4 linked regions of the Arabidopsis thaliana genome follow. The protein of the gene in region 3 interacts with the protein of the main gene of each other region in a pairwise test. Each region holds a gene or a part of one and is shown on either strand. Other genes may lie near its edges. The genes, in order: BLH6, BLH5, KNAT2 and RPL.

Region 1 (5,334 bases), on a different chromosome or scaffold from region 3:
TTCGAAAAATGGGCAGAAGTCTACGAGCCAACATGTTTCACCCATTACAGGTGAAATCTTGAACTAAGAGTGTTGATGCGTTGAGCAAGAAAGAGCCTTTTGTGTCTGTGTGAAAGGAGTTTATGTAATGTTGTTTAAGACTTTTCTGTTTATGTGAAAGGAGTTAATGTAATGTTGTTTAAGACTTTTGCTTTCTATGTGAAAGCAGTTTAATGTTATGTTGGTTAAGACTTTTCTGCAACAGAGTTTGGTGAATTTTTATTCTTTAATATGAGCATGCCTTTTTACATTTAACAATTCTCACTTTAGACTAAATAGGCTTTGGTAAGAGGCCCATATTTTCAAAAATAAGATTCATTCTCAATATCTGGATTGTATGCTAAAAAAAGGAATTAGGCCCATATTTGCTCAAAAAAAAAAAAAAAAAAAGTTATCTGCCTGAATATGATCTTGGACATTAGAACCTCGTTCTTACCTTTTATGTATATCTTTACTTCTACATGGTAGTAGTTATATAATCTCGTTGATCTTGAAATTAGTTCTTATTCTCATATAGGTCTGAAACTCTTATATTGCTTCTCTTCAAAATTTTGTTCCGTCTTTTTGGTTTCAATATCTGCCAAAATGTATTTGTATCGTCTATATGTGTTAAAAACACATGCAAGAGACTAGTAACTAGACAATAATCTATTTCAAACTAAATTGGTCTTCTAATAAAAATGTTATAGTTATGGAAAAAAGGATGTGTCTTTGGGACATTACAGCTCTATTGGGCCAACAAAATCTCTCGCTTCGTATCCCATTAGATTCTCTCTTTCTCTCTCTCTCTCTCTCTTCCTTCAGAGATGTTCATTGTTCGTATTATTACGGCATCTCTGGCTCTGACCCTCTCGCTGCAACATCTGTCCCTATTCAGACAGCTATACCTCTATTTTCATTCTACACCTAATACTTTATATTTCTTCAAAAATCCACCCTGATCAACTTCCTATCACTATCTAAGTCATTCTCATTATCTTTGTGTTGTTGCTCTCAAGTCTCGCCCATGGAACTAACGATTCTCTCAGCCTCTAATCAGTATTGGACCCTAGTCTTAAAGATTATAGTAGTTACCAAGTTAGGACTTAGGACTTAGGATATAGACTTCTGTCAAACAAGAAAGTGAATGCTAAGTTTAGAAGCATTTGAAAGAAAAAGTACTAATCCATAAATATCTACAAGTTGTTTCCAGGAAAAGACAAAACTCAGTGGGGAAAACGAGCACTTATGGTGTTTACAAAATGAAAATAAAAAAGAAGAAAAAGTTGTGTTTGTTATTTTTTGGGACCCTTATTTCTTTAATAGTTGCATAGCCTCTGGACGACCAGAGTCCACGAATGTATAATCAGATACCAAAAAAGTATGAAAGAAATATATAAAGAAAAGGAAGAAGAAACAATCATGGCTTGGCTTACTTAAAAAGTAAAGTAGCTAATACTCTTAATCAAAACTCACATAATAAACATTAGTTATGTGTTTATAATGATAAGTTAATGACCTATTCATCAGAAAAACAAGTTGTGATATATATACTTAATCAAAATTCACCACGATCTACTAATCTGCTAAATTTTTATTGTTTACTTGCAAAATAAACTATATAACTCAACACTTCCGAATTTAAATTTAAATTTAAGATGACTTTATGTCAAGAAGCTAGTAGCATCTTTGATTCTTTGTACTTTTCAACTTAAGTAAAGAAAATAGAAATGTGATTATATGGAGGATATTGATTTAATCAATGTGTAATTAAGAGACAGAGAGTGATAAGGATTGGGATTAAGATTAGGTTTAGGATTGGGAGAAAGATGAAGAGAGAGGGGTTTAGGTCGACCAACTGGTTGTTAAAGATAGAAACTCCTTAACCATACATTTATATAACATTTTCACAATAATTTTCTTCTCTTTACCAAAGACTTGACTCCAGGAATCAATAAGCAAGAAGCAGGAGGTTCAAGCACCAACCAGATTATGGCTTTCTGAAGCAATATCTTCAGAAAACAAAATAAAGTTTTTATTTGATTTTCTTATTACCATATTATATACTATTAAATAAGAAATTCAAAGTTTTTTTTTTCCATTCTTTCTTTCTTCCGGAGGAGGGAGAGTATGATATGGGTCTTTCACGTGTGACATTGATGAGATGATGAATTCAAATTATATCTCATACCAAAAAAAAAACACAACCAAGAGAAAGAGGCGTAACCTTCTGATTTCTTTCTTTTAAGATATCAATAAAATCTTTCACATTTTCTAATTTTTAATTCTTTTCAAGATTTTGTTGTCTCCTTCAACAATCCATCAGAAGTAGCAGTTTGGTTTCCAGGTAATTTACTAATCTTTTTATTTCTATACAATTCTTCTTTTTTTTTTGTTGTCTATGGATTTGGCTTGCATCTCCATAATTGCATGCATAACCATATATTCAAGACATGTTGAAATCTTACATGTTTCTTAGCAATACACTGATTATATGGATCCTGCTCTGTTTCAATTGTTTTTGAATCTGTCTTTAATGTCAAGCATTTCCTCCATAAGGTTAAGTTCTTACGACCTGATCAGAAAACAAGGGACTATGGAACTCAAGTGAGCCAAAAAGAACACTCCATTTCGATGGAGAATTATCCAGAAACACAGTTTATTCCCGGAGATTCAATGATCCAGAATGCTATAGTTTCTTACTCTGAGGAATCAGCCGGTAGAGAAAGAAGAACTGAAGCTAACAATGTCTCAGCCTCACAAGAGAGGCAAGCATTGTCCAGATTTGGGGGAGTTCCACAAATGCAGAACATTGGTCAAGATTTCGGTTCTTGGAGAGATCAAGCGAGTGACAGGAACGGTTTCCAGCTAATGAGCGCGATGGCAGGTGCCACGGGGATTCTTCAGACCGGTCAGGGACTGTCCCTTAGCCTTGGTTCACAGATTCTTCCAGGAATTCATCAGATAAGCCATCAAAATATGGCGCCGAGAGGCAATGAGTATGCAACACAGAGTTTTCCGGGCGGGAATCAGAACTTGGATGTTGTGAGAACAATTCCCAACTCAAAGTATCTTAAGGCGGCTCAACAGCTTCTAGATGAGGCTGTTAATGTAAAGAAAGCTCTAAAGCAGTTTCAGGCAGAGGGAGATAAAAACAATGAGAACCCTCAAGAACCGAATCAGAGCACTCAAGACTCGAGCACGAATCCTCCTGCGGACATCTCTCAGTCGGAGAGACAAGAAATGCAGAGCAAGTTGACAAAACTCTTGTCAATGTTGGATGAGGTAATAACTTGAGACCTAATCTTCTTAATTTGATCATGTGATGGTTACCTTTTATAGGCCTTTTGTTATAATATTTTAAATGCAAAAAAGCATACATTTAAATAAATTGCAGCCATAATGTTGTTACATTTGGTATATATAGGATATGTTGAATATTTAAGAAAATGAGATATTTCTTGATTTTGGTAAAGGTGGATAGAAGATATAAGCAATATTACCAGCAGATGCAGATAGTTGTATCCTCGTTCGATGTGATAGCTGGTTATGGAGCAGCTAAGCCATACACAGCACTCGCCCTTCAAACAATTTCTCGCCATTTTCGTAGCCTAAGGGATGCGATATCCGGACAAATCCTCGTGCTACGTAAATGCCTTGGGGAACAACAAGATGGATCAGATGGGAAAAGAGTTGGGATTATAAGCCGGCTTAAGTACGTTGATCAACATTTAAGACAACAAAGAGGTTTTATGCAACCTCAAGCTTGGAGACCTCAACGCGGTCTACCTGAAAACTCTGTTTTGATTCTCCGTGCTTGGCTCTTTGAGCATTTTCTTCACCCGTAAGTCTCCCTTGAATCTTATCTCCACACATTTTCTTCATAAATAGTGATGATTACTGTTTGAAAACATGAATAGTTACCCAAAGGATTCTGATAAGATCATGCTAGCAAGACAAACGGGCTTGAGCCGCGGTCAGGTAAGGAATGTTTTATTTGAAGATTGTTTCTTTCTCTTCATAGTATAGTTTATTTATTGATTGTTGTGTGTTTTATGTTTGTAAAAGGTTTCAAACTGGTTCATAAATGCACGAGTGCGTTTATGGAAGCCAATGGTGGAGGAGATATACAAGGAGGAATTCACAGAGAATGATTCCAACTCGTCTTCCGAAAATACACCGAAAATGTCTGAGATAGGACCTGTTGCTGCTGATGATGAAGATCGAGCTCGAGAGTTTTCACAAGACCAGACCAAACCGGACCATGGACATGGATATGGCGAGGAAACTCGTGGCATGGTCCAAGGCAGTCATATGGATGGTCGCCGGTTCATGGCAGTTGAGCCTACATATCATGTGGCTGATACGTCAAGATTGGGTCGTGGTGATGTGTCCTTGACTCTAGGGCTTCAAAACTCTCAAGGACAGGACAATGTTGTGGCTATGTCTAGTGAGGCATACAACAACTTTTCCGGGGTGGATATTTACGAGAATGCCATCCCGGGAGATGAAATGGAGTATGTAAACCCCGGAAGTCGCCAGAACCGGATAAATTCTTCACAATTGGTACATGATTTTGTAGCTTGAAGAAGTAAGCAATGGAGAGGAATAAAGCATAGGTGTGATGAACTTATGATCAGTCTCAATTCTGTAGTGGAAGAATGTTGGTCAGAAGAAAAAGTTTTAGAAATATTTGTATAAAGTAAACATTCTTTTGTACAAGAATATAAGTGAGGTTAGGTCATTGGGACCAAACAGAATATGGTAAATGCAATTTGAGATCTGCAAGAGATGGACATTACACTGTAGACTTATTATCTTATCACATCTACGAAACTGCAACGTTCCCAATTCTCTTCTCTTTTTTTTTGTCTGGCACATATACAATCTGTATCCGTTTTCAGAATTAATCGAATATTTCAATATTAATTTTGATCATAAGGATTCTATCAGATAAATTGTAATATTCATCTAATGATGACTATTCACCAAATTTACATTCTGCATGATAGCAAAGAGCACTATCTAATCATTAATTTACTAGAAAACATATCTTGAAACTTATATATATGATTATCATTCAAACTTATTGCAGTGTTAGTATTTAGGTTTACATATATTATACATCTCAGAAAGTCTGGCATCTATATATAGTCGATCGGTGATATGCATGATCAGTTGGGAATAAGCTTGAAAGGAGGTCTCACGAGCTTTGGTTTAGGACTGGAGTGGCCATAGTCTCTTGAATTCATTCTCAGAATTCTCTCATGCTCATGTATTCTTCTTTCTACTACCTGTCCACAAATAGAATGTATT
Region 2 (4,637 bases), on a different chromosome or scaffold from region 3:
GCATTATACTTAATTGATCTAAAAAGGAAAAATACTATTATCATAAAGTGAAAGATATAAATACAACTTGGATCTGACCGACACGATGAATTCTCATACACAGTCTCAATCCACCAAACTAAATAGTTATTATCACATTCAATAATAGAAAAAAAATTGATCTCAACACATATCGCGATATCAATTAAGATACGTCTAGCTTTATTTCGGTGTGTGATGGGAAGCTTTCCGAGGAATACAGGCAGATAATGGCATCACCAAAAAATAATGTCTAAATGTAATCTATTAATAAAATCCAAATTTTATATTAGTATTCGAAATTATTTTCTAGATACATTACTATGTCAAAATGTGTTTTAACTATGGATGGATGCTTAATTCGAAGAGTAATGAATTTCCGGGAATTGTGGACCATGTGGTCTATTTTCCAATGTACCATTACTATCTTCAAACACAAGTACTGACAACACAAAGAAAACATAAGAGAAAATATGATTTAGAAAACTATATGAAAGGAATAGGGAAATTTTGAAGATAAAGGCGGAACCAGGCAAATAAACTTTATTTATTTTGGCTGATAAATTTTTAAACATAGATTTGCATTGCAATACAGTTAATTAGTTGTTTAGTTGTGGAAAAGAAGAAAAAGAGTGACTTGTCGCAAACTAATATGGTTATCTAAATACATAAAAGAAGACTTTTGATGTGTGGAGTGGAAGTAGACGTTTCCTCGTTCTTCAACTATCTCCATGGTTCTGCTGACCCACTTCTATTATCTTTTCACATACATTTAACTATACACATATACATAGATTCATTGTAGATTTTAATTTAGTAATAATAATACAATATACTAATAATAAATGTTGACCTACTAAGTTATTCATGTAGGGATCATATAGATGCGTTGCCAAATATTAAACGTGCGGACATCAAATGATAAGACAATACTACCATCTGTAATATATTTTTCTCGTCAACAACCATTAATTAAAATCTTATTTCACCTATAGTATACAAATGGTAAAACGAATGACAATGATAGAAGTGTGATCGTAAAAATATATATATGGTAGCTATACTTATTCTTAGATAGATTGTCTCGTAGATCTACATTTGCGACCACATTGAAATTTTTTAGCTAGGTTGGATATTGGGTGTGAATCGTGCCTAAGATGCAAGTGAGAAATATTGGATATGTAGCAGTAGCATGCCGTGCATATATCATGTATGCTAGAATTGGTGATTGGTCAAAATCCATTGAACTTCGAAACATCACAAGAAAAATATTAATCGTGAGTGTCACTGTTTAGTTGTCCAATGAGATATAAAAGAAAAAAGTACATATTTTTCCCATTTATGAAAAGTCCAATCACATTTTATTTATAAAGGCGACTTATTGGACTTTCTAGTTGACAGATCAATGAAGCAGAGGATATTTAGATGATCATCGCAAGCAGAGAGAAAGACACGTCGAAGAAGACAATGAGAAACTCACACCCATAATTTGCTGCTCATCATTTCTAATTATTAAATAAAAACGGTAATTTAATTTTCTTGATTTGTCACATCTTTATTTCATCATCTTTTGCTTACCTTTTCTTCCTAAGCTCTTGGATATTATTAATGTTTTAGATCGATTTATATTATAATTTGATATTTTCTTGAATTGCAAGTTTTGTTGCTTAATTGTCAGAATAATGGCTGCTTTCTTTCTTGGAGAATCTGAAATGAGAGAACACTCTTCTGATCTTTTTATGATGACTCTGAATCCGTTTCGCGAGCAGACAACGACCACTAATGCTCATGACGATCACTTCTACAACTTGTGCTTTGGTTCCCAACAATATAGACCTCGAGATGAAGTAGGTCATATAGAACAAGGAAATTCTTCCATCTCCACTTTTTCAAACGGAGGAGTCTTCAGGGCTTTGGCTCCGATCTACTTGAAAGCGGCTCAAGAATTACTCAATGAGATTGTCAATGTTGGAAACGGTAGCCACGGCGCAAAACAAGAGCGACCGGTGAGTAAAGAGTCCACGATTTATGGAGTTGAGGACATCAATGGTGGCTATAAGCCTGGCGTAGCTGCTTTGCAAATGAAGAAAGCAAAACTCATCTCCATGGGTGAAATGGTAACTTATTTATACCTACCTATATAATATGTGATACACAAATAATAATAATAAGATCTTTGTATATACAAACCAACCATGGTGATATATATAATGGCAATAAACTTTCTGTTACTTTGAGATCGGGACTCAAGTTCAGTCCATATATTTGGTTATTGCATGTTAAGTATTTGATACTTTATAAAGGTTTCAAAGATTGGTAAATTGATTTGGGAAATGAATTTGGTAAATTATACACAGGTGGAACAGAGATACAAGCAATACCATGACCAAATGCAGACTATAATCTCATCGTTTGAGCAAGCTGCGGGTTTAGGCTCAGCAAACTCATACACACATATGGCGTTACAAACAATATCAAAGCAGTTTCGTGCTGTAAAAGACATGATAAGTTTGCAAATCAAGCAAATAAACAAGCTCTTGGGACAAAAGGAATTTGACGAGCAGCTTAAGAAGTTGGGAAAGATGGCACATCACCATTCAAATGCTTGGAGACCGCAGAGAGGTTTGCCCGAAAAAGCTGTTTCCGTTCTACGCTCTTGGCTCTTTGAGCATTTTCTTCATCCGTAAGTAACGTTTTCTTCTATCTTTAATTCTTGTTACGATTATTGTCGATATATCAGAATGATGGGACCTTGAAGCAAAGGGAACTAACTAAGGATATGGAAGCTAGGATCATTACTTAGTTTTGTATAGACATGCATGCTAATGATTTAGTTGTGTCTTGTTTTGGTTTGTATAGATATCCGAGGGATTTGGATAAGGTAATGCTTGCCAAACAGACTGGCCTTACTAAGAGTCAGGTAATTGATTTCGATTATCAGAAGTTGGACATACTTAAGTTTCTTAATGTTAGATGTCTCATACATAGTACATATACAATTTCATGACATCATCTAACACCGACTATCAAGAATAAATAATCTACAGGTAAAACCGAATATATATATAGATTCAAACAAATTTTATTCCGATCAAAAAAATATTTTTAGAAAGATATCTCTTTATTTCTATTTTTTTTTCTTTTCGAGTCTGAAAACAAAAACGTACCCAAGAATTCTAAGAAAAGCAGGTAAACCAAATATATTTTGGTAAATTTATTTAGATAGATGATGTATATTTATTTTATTATAATTATTTTAATGAAAATAGCGATGATAGCATACGAGAAATATCATATATGTGATCCTTTGTAAAGTAAATCAAATTTATTTTGGTTAAATTAGTAATTATATATATTATGGAATACTTTCTTTTAGCACCCATGATTATATATAATCAAAATAAGTATTGTTAATAGTATCTTGTGTAAAATGGATGTAGGTGTCAAATTGGTTCATTAATGCTCGAGTTCGAATGTGGAAGCCACTGGTGGAGGAACTTTATTCGGAAGAAATGGATATTGAAGAAAGCAGAAAAGGAAGTGACCGGTATAGTACCAAAGGTTCATCTTCAAAGCAACCGTACAATAATACAACTTCAAATGAATCTTCGAACACGATCCTACCCGCCTTTCGTCAAGGATTCACTGAAACTGAAACCCCTAGGCAAAATTCATCCTCAAGTTGCAGCGTAGTCATGAGGTTCACGAAGCAACACATGAATCAAGCGAACTTCATCAATTTCAACGGAGGGTTCGAAAACTATCACACAATGGATGGAAACAGCGTCTCCCTTTCCCTCGGCCTGCCTCATTCTTGTGACCAAACCTTTAATAACATTCATTTTGAGTCAACAAGTCATGGAACTGAGAACTCGGCCATATATTCATCTTCAACTTATCAAATCATGGATTAGAAATAATTAGTGGGGATGATATATTTTCTGCTTGTTGCTTACGTATATTCTGTGTATAGTTTTGGCCCTTGGATGGTTTCGTATGGGTTGATGTGTGTAGATTGATAGAGAGGAGATGATTAAGTAAAGGTTATGATAAAAATGTAGATAACAATACTAAGCTAAAGAAATATATATGGTTTTCGATAGTCAGGTTTTAGTTAGTATTGTTACGTATGAGTGTAAATGAAGATCAGATCAACCGTGAGATCCATATTAGCTAATAGTTGTGACTTTATGAACGTGTATGTGTGTGTGTGTGTGTGTATGTCCCCAAAAACCCTAACTTAATCTCCCACCTCTTCTGTCTTTTTTCTAAAATTTGTTCCACAAAACAATGAATATATATTAGCTATAATTATTATTTTGTTGTTTTACATGATCATCTTAGTGACCTAACCACAAGTTAATTGGCTACCAAGAAGTTATGGATTTATTTATTTGAGTTGATTTTTTGTTTGTCTTCCATATCCAATTTTTTATTTTTTATTTTACAAACTAACAAAATACAGAAATGTTTTAAAAATGATGGTAAAATAAGAATATGATAGAAAAAATGGGAGAGAATATTTTCTGTATCATTAAACACACAAACCGTTGCTACAAATTACATACTGAAAAATATGAATGAAGACATTATACAAACGACCAAACACACCTCTCTAT
Region 3 (7,829 bases):
AAACCGATCCGAAAAATCCGGCTCCGAAACCGAGCCAAATAGTCACAAAATTCGAATGGATAATGAATTCTTCTACCCGAATGGATAATGAAAATAAATTATTTAGTTGACACATCAGCTATCTAAGTAAGGTTCAATACAAATAAGAAATCTATCAATTTGGATGATTGGAAGATTAGTGACATAATATTGCCACTATTTCCAATACAATGTCTCGTTACGCCCTTGACCGTTTTGGCTAACGGGTTCCATTCATTCGCGATGATGCCCCATTTACCAAAAGCTTTTTACTGTTTTCTTTTCTTGGAAAAACAGTGTAAAAATTATACAATGCACAATTTCATGTCTCTCTTTTCATTACTCGGTAAAGAATGTTTCATTAGAATCGTCCATCATATCAAACGGCATGTTCTCCGAAGGCTTCCAATGGCGTTTCCTTTGGTTTATAAACCAATTGTTGATTTGTTTTTGATCCAAACCTGTTTCTTCAGCCAGAGATATTTTGTCGCCTTCCTATACACATTCGAGAGGCGGATATTAATATGTCGAAGAAATAAATTAATGAGTGTATGCTAGGTTACGGTGGAATCAGAAAGACACTTACAGTAGGGTAAGGCCATTTATTATGAACATTCCACCAATCGAGCAACGCTTGTCTTGCTTCTCTTGGTAGCTTCCCTTTCTTCTTCTTTTTAGAGAACTCGAGTTTCAATGAACTGATATGGCTACCAAATTTGCGTAGTAGCTGGTCCTTCAGATCGCGGTCATTGCTTCTTTGTTGGCTGTCATCCGCTGCTATGTCATCATCTTCTCTCAGTTCCTCGTCAGATGAAACCGCACCATCATCTGCTCATACATGAGAATAATGTCATACAGAAGATTCAATAATGATTAGCTCCCACGTATTAGCCAAATACGTGCCATACCGATAAAATGTACTAGGAGAATGTATGGTGGTGCTATTTATGGTAGCATATTTGACAATGTAGAAAGCAAATTCTACCACTATGCCAACACTAACAAACATAGCTAACACTAAGATACTAGTAGGCTCGGCTAAATGACTAAGTGGCTAAAGCAGCTAAAAGAAGAAAAGAGCCAAAAAAGCATAGAGAAGAGAACAAGGGTGAAAGAAAGGAAAAAAAAAAAAAAAAAAGGGTGAAAGAAAGGGGTAAAAGGGGAAAAACAAGGATAGCGAGATAATATCGAGGTTTTACAAGACCCGGGCACAAAAATGATCAGTCAAAAACTTTCGCAGTCACTGAATAGTTTAGCTTCCATTGCCACTGACGTGCTCCTTTGGGACTTACCACTAGCCACCTGAGTCACGACACGTATCACCTTTCTGACACTTGTTTGAGTGACCCCCGGAAAAAACGCTTCCCCAACATTTATGAACTTTCTCATAATGCCCCATTTATGACCATACCATACTGACCCCTATGTTACTGCGACTAAAAGGGAGCCTAATTAAGGGAGTTTAAACATGATTAATGGTCAAATTATTTGCATTAATAGAAATTTCACTTAGTATTCTCAACTTAGTGATTACAGAAAGACATCGTTTCAAAGTCTCCCTAAAGAGTTTAGGTTGTAGTTTGCTACACCACTAATGAGCTGATCCTTAGACAAATCACACAAAATATAGTTCACACCCTATCCATGAAAACTTTGCTAGTTGAGGATGGTATGTGCAATAGTAACTCGGTTTGTTCTTTACCTATTAGCCGAATTTGGTTCCTATATAACATCAAGACAATGCGAAAGAGACAACATGCACTGATAAAAAAAAAGTAGATAGACTTGTACATCTCCCAAAAAAAGTTAAACACGTGGAAATTGCATGGCCCATTAAGGGAACAAACGCAGAGAGGAAATGACAACCACTAAGCAACAGTAGAAAAAGATGTGGAGAAACATTAGTCGTAAGATGATTGCATTGTACATAAATCAAAACCCATGTCTCTCCCCTATTTTCTTCTCTTTCTTTTTCTTTAAAATCAAATCAAATCTTAAAAAGAGAGTGTTGCGATTGGGTCATAAAGGGATCCACCAACGTAATCCACGGGAGTCCATGTGACACTTGACCACCTCATGCTTCTGTCTCCAACTTCTTCTATTTAGAAATTAAAAAGGGCTAAAAGATTTCTAATTCAAGCATTTGGGTGTGTTTTTTTGTGCGTGTCAAAAGGACCATTCTATCAACGAAGGTGATATAACCAAACAGATTATCAGTATTATCATGTCTAGAACTGGTGAAGTAACTAATGTGCCATGACAGAGTATTTTGTTCAAAAGAACATGCTTTTCGAGTTTCCTACGAACATTGAATGAATAGAATATCATTCACAGCCAAAGATATATCTAGGGTGAATGCATAGGGACCTAGGGTGAATGCATTTTACAACACAAAAATACTAGTTGTAGACTGTAGTGAATAATCTTAAACAATAGTCCTAAATTCCACATATGGATACAAAATCGCACATGGATCTCATTGTATCAATACACCATCCGAACACCAAATGATTAGAAGAAAATATGAGGATGGAACAAAAACCATGGCCAAGATTGACCATCTTAATCACGAAAAGGGTCAATTGCACACTAAAGCGAGAACGAAAAAAATAAGTAAACACAATTGCTATGACAAACATCAGTTGACTAAAGAGGATTTGGTTTATTCCTAAAGCATATTAGCACGAAAAGAAACCAAAAGCACATGACTCTGAAAACTACATATTATGAGTTATACTATTAGTTTAAGATATTCAGTTGAAAAGAAAGTCCTTTCTCGGGACTTAAGAAACAGAAAAAGGTATTGACCAAGGAAAAGATGTTCATAAGGTAATATATATTCCTTCAAAATCATACATGAGATTACGCTAAAAAGGTAAGTGGTACTTCAAAACCATTAAAAAACTAAACATTCGTCCAATAAAGATAAATTCAAGCTGCAAGTGATCTGTTTTTCAACCTTTTGGACAAGATTATTCCCTATGTAAACTCCAATTAATTAAGTACGCTGATAAGTATTAACAACTTTTCGGAATTAAACAATGCTAACAAAGTACAACCGAAGCAGCATTTGATATCAACATATAAGAAAAAGAAGACTATTAAAGCTGAATTCCACTATATTGTAGTTCCAATTTTTTTCCAGCTAGTTCTTATCAGGTGGAGATGAAGAAGTAAAATGATTACTTTAAAATCCCTAAGATAGTGAAATACTTTACTTATAAAAAATATACACACGTATTCTGACAACATGAACGTGGCTAAGTAGATTAGTGTAGATTAACAAGAAACTAATTTTTGCCCTGTTGGAAAGGTTTAACCAATATAAGCTACAAAAACAACACAAAGACAACTAAAATTACATTCTTTTAAGAAACCTACTATTCCTTATTTGGGCTGCTTGTAAAATACTTACAAAGTTCTATTCTGCTTAATTAAGAAAACAAATGGTGGAAAAGAAGGTACCATTAAGTTTAGTTTAATACCTCGGCAAATTAGTAAACCTCACTTACATTGTGTAAGTGTCTTAATGCATTTCAATCATTTATTTATTCACATAAAATTCCAACAAGAATACAAGAATAACAGACACATTAACCACGACATGCAGAATATACAAGCCTCTTGGCCATCAAGCATTTTTATGGACTTACATGCGCATGAGCTCAGATTAACTGAAATCCAACAGAGATTTGGTTTAGCTTTTTCGAGCTAAAGAAACACAAAATCCAACTATTTGACCTGATCAAGACACTTCTTTGGTTTACTAAGTCAGATAGGTTCGTGAAAATTAATCACACCAATGATTTTGTACATGTAATTTGAACACAGTGGACTTCAAATGTAAGACCCTTAGGTGCAAATACAATGTATTCAAAAATAAGGGCTAGTGTCATTAATTTTCACATACACTAAGAAAACAAATCAATCTTATGTTATACTCATTATACACAATAAATTTTTATCTCTCTAATAGTAAAAACTAAAGTGACATGGATAAAACTTAAGTCTGACACTTTCTATGGAAAAGTAGTATAAACTTTGGTTCATTCACCAAGAGAAGTTGGAGTAATCAAGAACTAGTAAAGTTTTGTTTTACCCATCAGTCTCTTAATGAAGATGAAAACAAGCGATACTACTAGAGATCTAAACATGAAGCCAAGGACAAACTCAAGAAAAATCAGTGGCATTTATTAGTGGAAGTTATGACTAGGTTTTTTCTCTATGATTGAATTTTCACTGGAAATAAGCAATTAAAAAACTTCCAGTACGACACTGAAACGTCAAAATCAGAATCTCTAGCGCAAAAGTTTTTGCTTTCATAGACCCATATTTTCTTCTGACAGAGGAGAAGATAATAATACAAGTATATATAAAAGTAACAAAAGAAAAGTATACCATACCAAAATCACTAGGAAAATAAATATCACTAACAGAGAAAATCCTACCCACCGGCTTTCCCCTAATATCCGCCCCACAGCTTAAACCATAGCTAATGATAGAAAATAAATGTCACAAAGATGTGTGAAGGTCATGGATCTATCTAAAGCATGAATGACTTCTACCAAATATAAAAGATGTGGCTGAATCAATCATTGTTTTCTAACAAAACTAGGGTTTTAGAGTTTCCTTGTTTTTTTCTGACTTTTATTGCCTTGGGTTGTCTAAACCGGATCTACTAAGCTCCTCCTAGTTTCAGCTACAACAACTTATCGATTCTCGTTTTCTTTAAGGAAAAAAAAAACAGTAGAAGATTTCCAATTTTTCCATCAATTCCAAGAAACTGATCATTGAAGCACAGAAAGGAAAAGTTATCTGAGGATAGATTTTCTAATCCGCAAGATCTGTAACTGTAAGGAGAAATTTGCGCAAGGATTTTAAAGGACACACAAACCGAGGATAGTGCTCAAAGATCAATAAAAACACTAGCTAGGAAACAAGAAATCAAAAGTACACTCGAACAAGAGATAGATATCACTTTAGTGCTGACCTGAAAGAGCTGTAGCAGACGCTGGACCAGTGCACAAGTTCTGAAGCTGCATTTCAATCTTGTTTATGAAAGTTGTAGCCTCGTCGAACGGCCTCGCAAGATCGGTTTTGTATTTAACCAATATATCACAGTAGGTTTCCTAGAATCACACCACAAAAAAACAAAATTATATTTTAAGAAAAACTAGAAGATCAAAGTTCAAGGCAACGAACAAAGTGAGAAACCATGAATTCATCAAGCTCAGGATCAGCTCCAAAGCAAGATAATGGAGCAACATCTCTCTTGTACACATGGTTCTCTCGCTGAATCTCTTCCAATATACACGCTATTTCCATAGGCGCTCCCACCTGTCAATCAATAACCAAAAAAAAAAAAAAATCACTCTCACATATAAACACAGTCTCTCTAGTTCTCCAATCTTATCTTAGGGTTAAAGTGGAATAGAAAAAAAAAAGTAAGAGAACTATCTTTAAATACGACGATGAATACATGTAAAATTCCTGACGCTTAATCAAATTAACCTTGAAAGCACAAAATCATACACAACAAGAAAAAGAAAAGACAAAACACGAAAGCAGCGAGATCACCTTTTGGCAATCGATGTAGGTTTGGAGTAAGCGAGGATACAAAGGATGAGAAGCGATTTTGGATTTGATGACACTAAGAGAGAAATTATCCTCAGCTTTTCGAATACGCGGAAGCAACTCCGAGGACAAAGCGGTAGCGAGTTCGTCGGATCCAAACAGTCTTTGATTGTCTCCGGTGGTTGAACAAATCAAAGACTGATAATCGGACGGCATCATCAACGTCGCTTTCTCCGAATAGTCTTCCGTCGAGCGGAAACCACACATTCTATCCATTAATGTGATCGTAGTGAGATACGATCAGTGATCGCCGCTTCTTCGATCCCTAGCCTTGTGCTTGCTTCTGAAGAATATGAAGAAACACAAAAGTAAGAAGTAACAAACTGCTTCAAAGAGAGAGAGAGATAGAGACAATGGAAATAGATAGACTGGCCAAGTTGAGGCGGTCTCGTAGTATAGTAGTCTGAGGGCAATGATCGTAAATATTTCAGCAAAAAACCAAAAAAAAAAAAAAATGATTTGTGACGAAAAGCAAAAAAAAAAAAAAATCACGAATATGAATTTTCATAGTTTATTATGATAATTTACAAGTTTTTCTTAAAGACACCATAATTTTTATTTTATTTTGTCGTACTAGTATAAAAGAAGAAAGATTTCAAGGGTTTGCCATATGTGTTAAGGAATACGATTCGAGTGATTATAAAAAGATTTCTTCGTGATTCAAGAGCACTTTTTTTAACTGTACGATTACATGGTTACGATTATTTTTGATATATAATATTATCGCACAAATGATCAAAATAGCACGCTAACCTTTAGAATTTATGACTTAGCTAATGAAGACAACAATTAGTACTTGTTAACAAAAACAGGTTAGACGATGGTAATTTGAATTTTGACAGTAAAAACAAATGATGGTAATTTTGTTAATTAATAAGCTTTTTGTTTCAATTACGGTGGCCGACACCTACTAGGCTACTACGATTCTAGTTGTCTAACCGGATCGGTTCAACTTCAATTTCACTCTTTCAATTTTCACCTAGTTTTGTTTCTCTGTAAAACACGTCTATGGTAGCTAGGTGCTCATTATCAATCACAACATAGTAAACAATTTTTGTTTTTTAATTGCTTTCAGTCATTTGCTAATTAAACACACTCTTAGGAACTATTTTTTATAGTGGCCACTCCACTTATCGCACTTCTTGTTATTTTCATAGAGAATCTGTTAGTCGCGTATAATATCAACTCAAAATGTTTCATTACCTTATATAGTAACAGAACCTGCAGTTTTTGTCATAAACCAAAATCCATCTATAAACCCTGTTGTAAGAAAAAAAACTATATTTTTGCATGGGTCTACTCCAGACCCGATCCGATGATCCATATCGTTTTTTCCGCAAAAAAAAATAAAAACAAATGTCATAAAGGTCTTTTTGATGATGGACAGGTTTGATTGACACATCCGTCGGACTACTTTGGTGTGAAATTTAACTGACATAAAGCTTTGTTTTAGTATCAAACCTTATAAAAACGACAGAACTTTCCTTCTCTCTCATTTCACTTCGTTGGATCGTATCGTATTGAATCCCCACCGGTGGCCTTCACAGCACATATTTATATTGTTTCTAAACTTTTCTGTATTTTTTGGGGGGGGTCACAAGTTTCTATAATCTATATGATCACTATCGTCGAGAAATGATTGCAAAAAAAAAATGTGTGTCTTGCAGAAAAAATAATAATAACAAAAAGTGACGACTAAATTATTAGATCAAGTGCATATAATTATGTTGCTAAGATAATATTGTACCACTCGAATGTTTCATCATGGATTGTTCATACTGTTCCCGTGATTTAGTGTTGTTAGGTTTCAATTCTTTGTATTGAGGTTTTTGTTAATATATTATTGTACCACTCGGTTGCTTCAACTTTGTAGGAGTTTATTGTCATTCTTTTTTGTATCTCATATCATCAATATGTGGTTTTGAACAAATTTGTTTCTGTTGTTAGAAATGTTACTGAAATTGGAGATTACTTAGCTTCTTATGGATTTTATTTATTTATTTTGGGAATCCCAGGTCTTAATACTCTCCTTTGGTTGTTTCTCTTTCTTTCTAAGTAGTTTTATGCTATACAATTACATGTTATCAAAATAATCTTAATATGGTTTATAAAATTTTATATGCTTGTCTTAATATGTTATGTTTTAACAAATATTGTTTTTAGTCATCTCTACATAA
Region 4 (5,862 bases), on a different chromosome or scaffold from region 3:
TTACCCAATTAACCCATCAAATTTTATAAAATTGAATTAAACCAACTAAAATCTCTAAACCAATGCCAATTTAAGTTTAACCAACACATCTAAACAAATTTAATAAAATTAATATTTTTCCAAATTTCTTAAATATACAAGCGATGAAATTGAGAAAAAATAAATTCGTAATTTTTCCACCAAAAAACATAAACCCGTGATTTTCTCGCCAAAAACGTAAACCCGTGATTTTCCCGCCAAAAACGTAAACCCTTAATTTTCCCGCCAAAAACGTAAACCCGTAATTTTCCCACCAAAAACGTAAACCCGTGATTTTCCCGCCAAAAATGTAAACCCGTGATTTTCCCGCCAAAAACGTAAACCCGTGATTTTCCCGCCAAAAACGTAAACCCGAGATTTTCCCGCCAAAAACGTAAATCCGTTATTTTTTCGCCCAAAACGTAAACCCATGATTTTTCCGTCAAAAACGTAAATCCGTGATTTTCCCGCCAAAAACGTAAATCCGAGATTTTTTCGCCGAAAAGCTTAAACCCGAAATTTTCCAGCCAAAAACGTAAACCCATCATTTTCCGGCCAAAAACGTAAAAAACTATAATTTTCCTGTCAAAACGTAAATCCGTGATTTTCCGTACCTAAAACGTAAACCTGTAAAAAATAAAATCCGTAAATATCTTAAGTTTGATGATAATGAATTAATAATGATAATTATTTATTATTGTTTTATAATAATAATTAATTAAATTATTACTTAAATGGGTTAACATCTCAAACCATTAAATTAAATGAGTTATAGGTTGACCCAACACATTTAACAAAATGAGTTGGGTCAACCCATAACTCATTTATTCTTAAACTCATTTGATTATAAGTTGAGTAGAGTTGGGTTATCCATTTTGATATCCCTACTTTTAGTACTATAGCTACAAGCCTACAACTATGGAGATTAGTGTGAATGTATGATTGTCGAATAAAAATAGAGTGACTAAATATTTTAAGCGTAAAAAGGTATTTATTCCAGCAAAAGAAAAGAAGAAAAACGACAAAAAGAAGACTTAAAAGTTGTAGAAATGTCAGTACGTATGTGAAAGACTGAGACACAGAACACTTTGTACAAGAACCAGTTCCAGTGTCACCGGTTACAGCCGGTCGCCTTCTCTTGATTCCCCAAAGCCTCTCCCACCAAACCCGGGACTTTTCACTTTTCATCAGTATTTTTTTTTGTTAAAGATTTTCATCAGTATTTTATATATATATATATATTATAAAGATCGAATTTGTTTGCATGATGAGGAAAGTATATCGAGTTACTATGTATCCATCGTTTGAAATACCCGTTTTAAAAAAAAATAATGAGATTTATTTTTAGGACTTCAGTATATATACGATTAACTTTTAACAGTTGTGTGACTAAAACGAAATGTAACAAAAATAAGAGAAAACTACAAAACAGGTAGTGAAAAATGACAAAAAAATTGTAGGACGCTAAGACGAAAAAATGATTCAAGAAAGAATATGTCTTTTCAATTTCAGTTTTACGAAATCGTGTAATAACGTAAATACTAAATCACGATTTCACAGAACCATATAAAATACTAAAATCCCACGCAATCATTAAACTTAATTCACCATTCTACGGATGACCTATGAGAGAGCATTGAATTGGCTTTAGTAACAAACACCAAAAAGATGAATCTTGACCAAATTTGTAATGCTCATACTAAATTCCTCCAAGTCTTATAAACATTAGATATTTTATATTTTAGGTTTTCAAAATATGTCATATAAAGAAAAATTTGATATACATATTGATCGTGCTTCAAAAAGACACCAAAAGAGCTTCTCTCTCTCTTAACCTCTCGTTTCGCCATTATCTCTTACACTGTTACTCTCTCTCTCTCTTCTTCTTCTTCTTCTTCTTCTGCATCTCATCGACATCATCCTTTCCCATGGCTGATGCATACGAGCCTTATCATGTTCTTCAACAAAGCCGGCGAGACAAACTTCGTATTCCATCTCTCGATTCCCACTTCCACTTTCACCCTCCTCCTCCTCCTTCCTCCGGCGGCGGAGGTGGCGTCTTTCCTCTCGCTGATTCCGATTTCCTCGCAGCCGGTGGCTTTCACTCCAACAACAACAACAACCACATATCTAACCCTAGCTACAGTAATTTCATGGGATTTCTCGGTGGCCCTTCTTCTTCTTCATCCACCGCAGTCGCCGTCGCCGGAGATCATTCCTTTAACGCCGGACTTTCTTCCGGAGACGTTCTTGTCTTCAAACCCGAGCCTCTATCTCTATCTTTGTCCTCTCACCCTAGACTCGCTTACGATCTAGTCGTTCCCGGTGTTGTTAACTCCGGATTCTGTAGATCTGCCGGTGAAGCCAACGCCGCCGCCGTCACCATCGCGTCTAGAAGCTCTGGTCCTCTCGGACCTTTCACGGGCTACGCGTCGATTCTTAAAGGATCAAGGTTCTTGAAACCAGCACAGATGCTTCTTGATGAGTTTTGTAATGTGGGTCGTGGGATTTACACCGACAAAGTCATCGACGACGATGATTCTTCTCTGCTTTTTGATCCGACGGTTGAGAATCTCTGCGGTGTTTCTGATGGCGGCGGAGGAGATAATGGAAAGAAAAAATCAAAACTCATCTCCATGCTCGACGAGGTATACAATAACATGATCAATTCTAATCTCTTTAAATTATTGAAATCTGTAAATTTTCTTTAATTATTGTCTATACTTTCTTACAAGTATGTGAATTATTGTGTTAAATGTTCACAGTTTTTGGTCGGTGTCCTTTGGAATTGGAGACAAAATGTGTTAAATGATATGTCTCTTAAAAAGATCTTCCTTGGAAAATGAAACTCCTTCAAAGCCATTTTAAAATTATATGATATTTTATTTAATTCATTATAATACCATATGTTAATTAAATTAATGTTCCCTACGTTTTGCATGAATAGATGATGTTATAGCGTCCATTTTAATACATTATATAAATTACAAGCTTGCCATCTTCATGCTGATTTTTAATAGAATTTTAAGGTTATACTAAAGTAAGGATAATATTATCTTGAGGAAGTAACTTTATATAGAGCTTCCTTAGCTCTTGATCTGAATTTGTGAATTAGATTCTTCAAATCTTAGGGGTATAAACATTAAGTGATAAAAAGAGAACGTCTTCTTTATGAAAGGAATATATGCATTATATGATCTTAAAGCTAGGGACTTAAAGATTTTAATTAGTTTATTCCGAGGTATATAACATACTTTTTGAGTGAGGAAATAATGTATAAATTTATAATCACCCATTTTATTATGTAAGTGGGGGAATCTAAAAACATTTCCATGTGACGTTTTGAAGGTTTACAAGAGGTATAAGCAATACTATGAGCAGCTACAAGCTGTGATGGGATCATTCGAATGCGTTGCAGGTCTCGGGCACGCTGCTCCGTACGCTAACTTAGCCTTGAAAGCATTGTCTAAGCATTTCAAGTGTTTGAAGAATGCTATAACGGACCAGCTTCAATTCAGCCACAACAACAAGATCCAACAACAACAACAATGTGGTCATCCGATGAACTCTGAGAATAAGACTGATTCTTTAAGATTTGGAGGAAGTGATAGTTCTAGAGGCTTATGTTCTGCTGGTCAAAGACATGGATTTCCTGATCATCATGCTCCTGTTTGGAGACCGCACCGTGGCCTACCCGAACGTGCTGTTACTGTTCTAAGGGCTTGGCTCTTCGATCATTTCTTGCATCCGTAAGTAACCCTTCTCGCCATATAAATGCTTTTGAAAGTTGTTGGATTCGAGTTTGAACTTGGTTCCAACAATTGATTAAACTAAATGCAAACGTTTAATTGATCATGAACCAAATTGTATATATATGCTTGTGAACAATAGCTTTATATGTGTGTGTCAGTGTGAATAAATATGTGTGTATCGAAGTGTATTTTTACTTGGAAGTATGTTTTAGATGGGACATGTCGACTGCTTGTTTGTTTCCCAAACTTGGAGATGTCGTGTTGCAAGCGTAATTATGTGTCTATATATATGTGTATGTTAGTATATACAATGATATATTAAATTGTTGTTGTCTGTGTCTTTTGTTGCAGTTATCCAACAGATACAGACAAACTCATGCTGGCTAAGCAGACAGGTCTCTCCAGAAATCAGGTTTCACTTCTGATATCTTCAGTCTTCTTCTTTTTTCTCTTTCCATCTTTTCTTGTTCACAATTTAACAAATTTCTTGCTAATTAAGCATGCACATAGTCACATAGATAAATATATGCTTTTATGAAATGAGTTTCTGTTGTCGGACAATAATTATATGTTTTAAATCTTTTCACATATATCATTAGTATAGTAACTATGTTATAATTTGGTTTATTAGGTTTGAATAAGTGTTACACTTTTGTTTTTGAAAATTTATCCGTTGGTGATAATGAATAATTTAGGGATTTTCTATCGCTTGAGGGTTATTAATTTATTATGGTAAAATGTTATTTTAGGTATCGAATTGGTTCATAAACGCAAGAGTTAGGGTTTGGAAGCCGATGGTGGAAGAGATTCACATGCTGGAGACTCGACAATCTCAGAGATCTTCTTCTTCCTCTTGGAGAGACGAACGTACTAGCACCACCGTCTTCCCTGACAACAGCAACAACAACCCATCTTCGTCCTCGGCACAGCAAAGACCTAACAACTCATCTCCGCCTAGACGGGCACGAAACGACGACGTTCATGGCACAAACAACAACAACAGCTATGTAAACAGTGGGAGCGGCGGCGGTAGTGCGGTTGGTTTCTCGTATGGAATTGGGTCGTCGAATGTGCCGGTGATGAATAGCAGCACAAACGGAGGAGTGTCTTTGACGTTAGGGCTTCATCATCAGATTGGGTTACCGGAGCCTTTTCCGATGACAACTGCTCAGAGGTTTGGGCTTGATGGTGGTAGTGGCGATGGTGGTGGTGGGTATGAAGGGCAAAATCGTCAGTTTGGGAGAGATTTTATTGGTGGTAGTAATCATCAGTTTCTACATGATTTTGTAGGTTGAGATTATTTGTGTGGAAAGGAAAAAATATGTTTGACGTTTGGGTATGTATAAGAAGATATGGGGGAATTGAAATGCATATGATGTGTATATTAGAATGTTTCTTCTTCTTTTTTTGTTGTTTGCTTACTTTCACAAATGTTATCTTTTTAAGAAATGAAATTGGATTCAATAACCAATGTTAAAAACATGGGTTAGACTTTAGAGTTGTCTATGTCTTGGTGAAATATAAAAGGCATCTATCATTGTTTTAATATTTTGGCATGATTCAAAACATGGTGCTTTTTTTTTTTTTATGTATGTCACAATTATCGTTGAAGAACGCGATTAAGATGTTTATCATTGATCGTTGATATTATATTTTGAACTATCTTGTTTTACTTGATAGTAAACATTGACTAAACAACATGTTTTCAAACCCTAAACCTTGAAATATTTCAGACTATTTGAGTTATCTTTTTGAGTCGGATGCAGTTTTGACTCCGATCCGCTCAACATTGTTGAATTCTTCTACTCATAAAAGAAGTTTGAGCCGATTTCAAACACACAAAACAAATGAGTTCGGTTTAATGTTCAGTGTGTACTAATACGTTGGCTTTTGAAGATCACATGAGAGCAAAAGTATTGAAAATAAAATTGTGCTTTTGTTGCTTCAAATAACTTTCCATTTGCTTTTGGAAAACAAGAAAGATATATATATATATATATATATATATATATACATAACCTTTCCCTCTCATGGGAAAAAAGTAAATCTTTTTCTTTGTAGAATTTATTCTCCGATCCTAACCATTTCTCAG

What was found.
Region 1: the proteins of KNAT2 (region 3) and BLH6 interact in binary tests that used the Arabidopsis thaliana proteins (3 or more experiments, as listed by UniProt).
Region 2: the proteins of KNAT2 (region 3) and BLH5 interact in binary tests that used the Arabidopsis thaliana proteins (3 or more experiments, as listed by UniProt).
Region 4: the proteins of KNAT2 (region 3) and RPL interact in binary tests that used the Arabidopsis thaliana proteins (3 or more experiments, as listed by UniProt).

The regions. Positions count from the first base shown.
Region 1 is NC_003075.7:16,529,817-16,535,150, reverse strand, and holds BLH6 (BEL1-like homeodomain 6), read left to right. Parts: upstream 1-1,788; 5' UTR 1,789-2,365; exon of another isoform or gene 2,366-2,577; 5' UTR 2,578-2,652; coding exon 2,653-3,303; intron 3,304-3,494; coding exon 3,495-3,862; intron 3,863-3,938; coding exon 3,939-3,999; intron 4,000-4,086; coding exon 4,087-4,605; 3' UTR 4,606-4,805; downstream 4,806-5,334. Other genes in the region: SSR16 (small subunit ribosomal protein 16), read left to right, coding at 1-67; AT4G34600 (uncharacterized protein), read right to left, coding at 5,193-5,312.
Region 2 is NC_003071.7:11,636,601-11,641,237, reverse strand, and holds BLH5 (BEL1-like homeodomain 5), read left to right. Parts: upstream 1-1,700; coding exon 1,701-2,135; intron 2,136-2,321; coding exon 2,322-2,701; intron 2,702-2,877; coding exon 2,878-2,938; intron 2,939-3,458; coding exon 3,459-3,932; 3' UTR 3,933-4,132; downstream 4,133-4,637.
Region 3 is NC_003070.9:26,574,674-26,582,502, reverse strand, and holds KNAT2 (homeobox knotted-like protein), read right to left. Parts: upstream 6,018-7,829; 5' UTR 5,869-6,017; coding exon 5,596-5,868; intron 5,356-5,595; coding exon 5,221-5,355; intron 5,148-5,220; coding exon 5,009-5,147; intron 847-5,008; coding exon 605-846; intron 514-604; coding exon 358-513; 3' UTR 72-357; downstream 1-71. UniProt on the Arabidopsis thaliana protein: May play a role in meristem function, and may be involved in maintaining cells in an undifferentiated, meristematic state. Probably binds to the DNA sequence 5'-TGAC-3'.
Region 4 is NC_003076.8:393,808-399,669, forward strand, and holds RPL (POX (plant homeobox) family protein), read left to right. Parts: upstream 1-1,759; 5' UTR 1,760-1,946; coding exon 1,947-2,666; intron 2,667-3,366; coding exon 3,367-3,767; intron 3,768-4,121; coding exon 4,122-4,182; intron 4,183-4,519; coding exon 4,520-5,065; 3' UTR 5,066-5,318; downstream 5,319-5,862.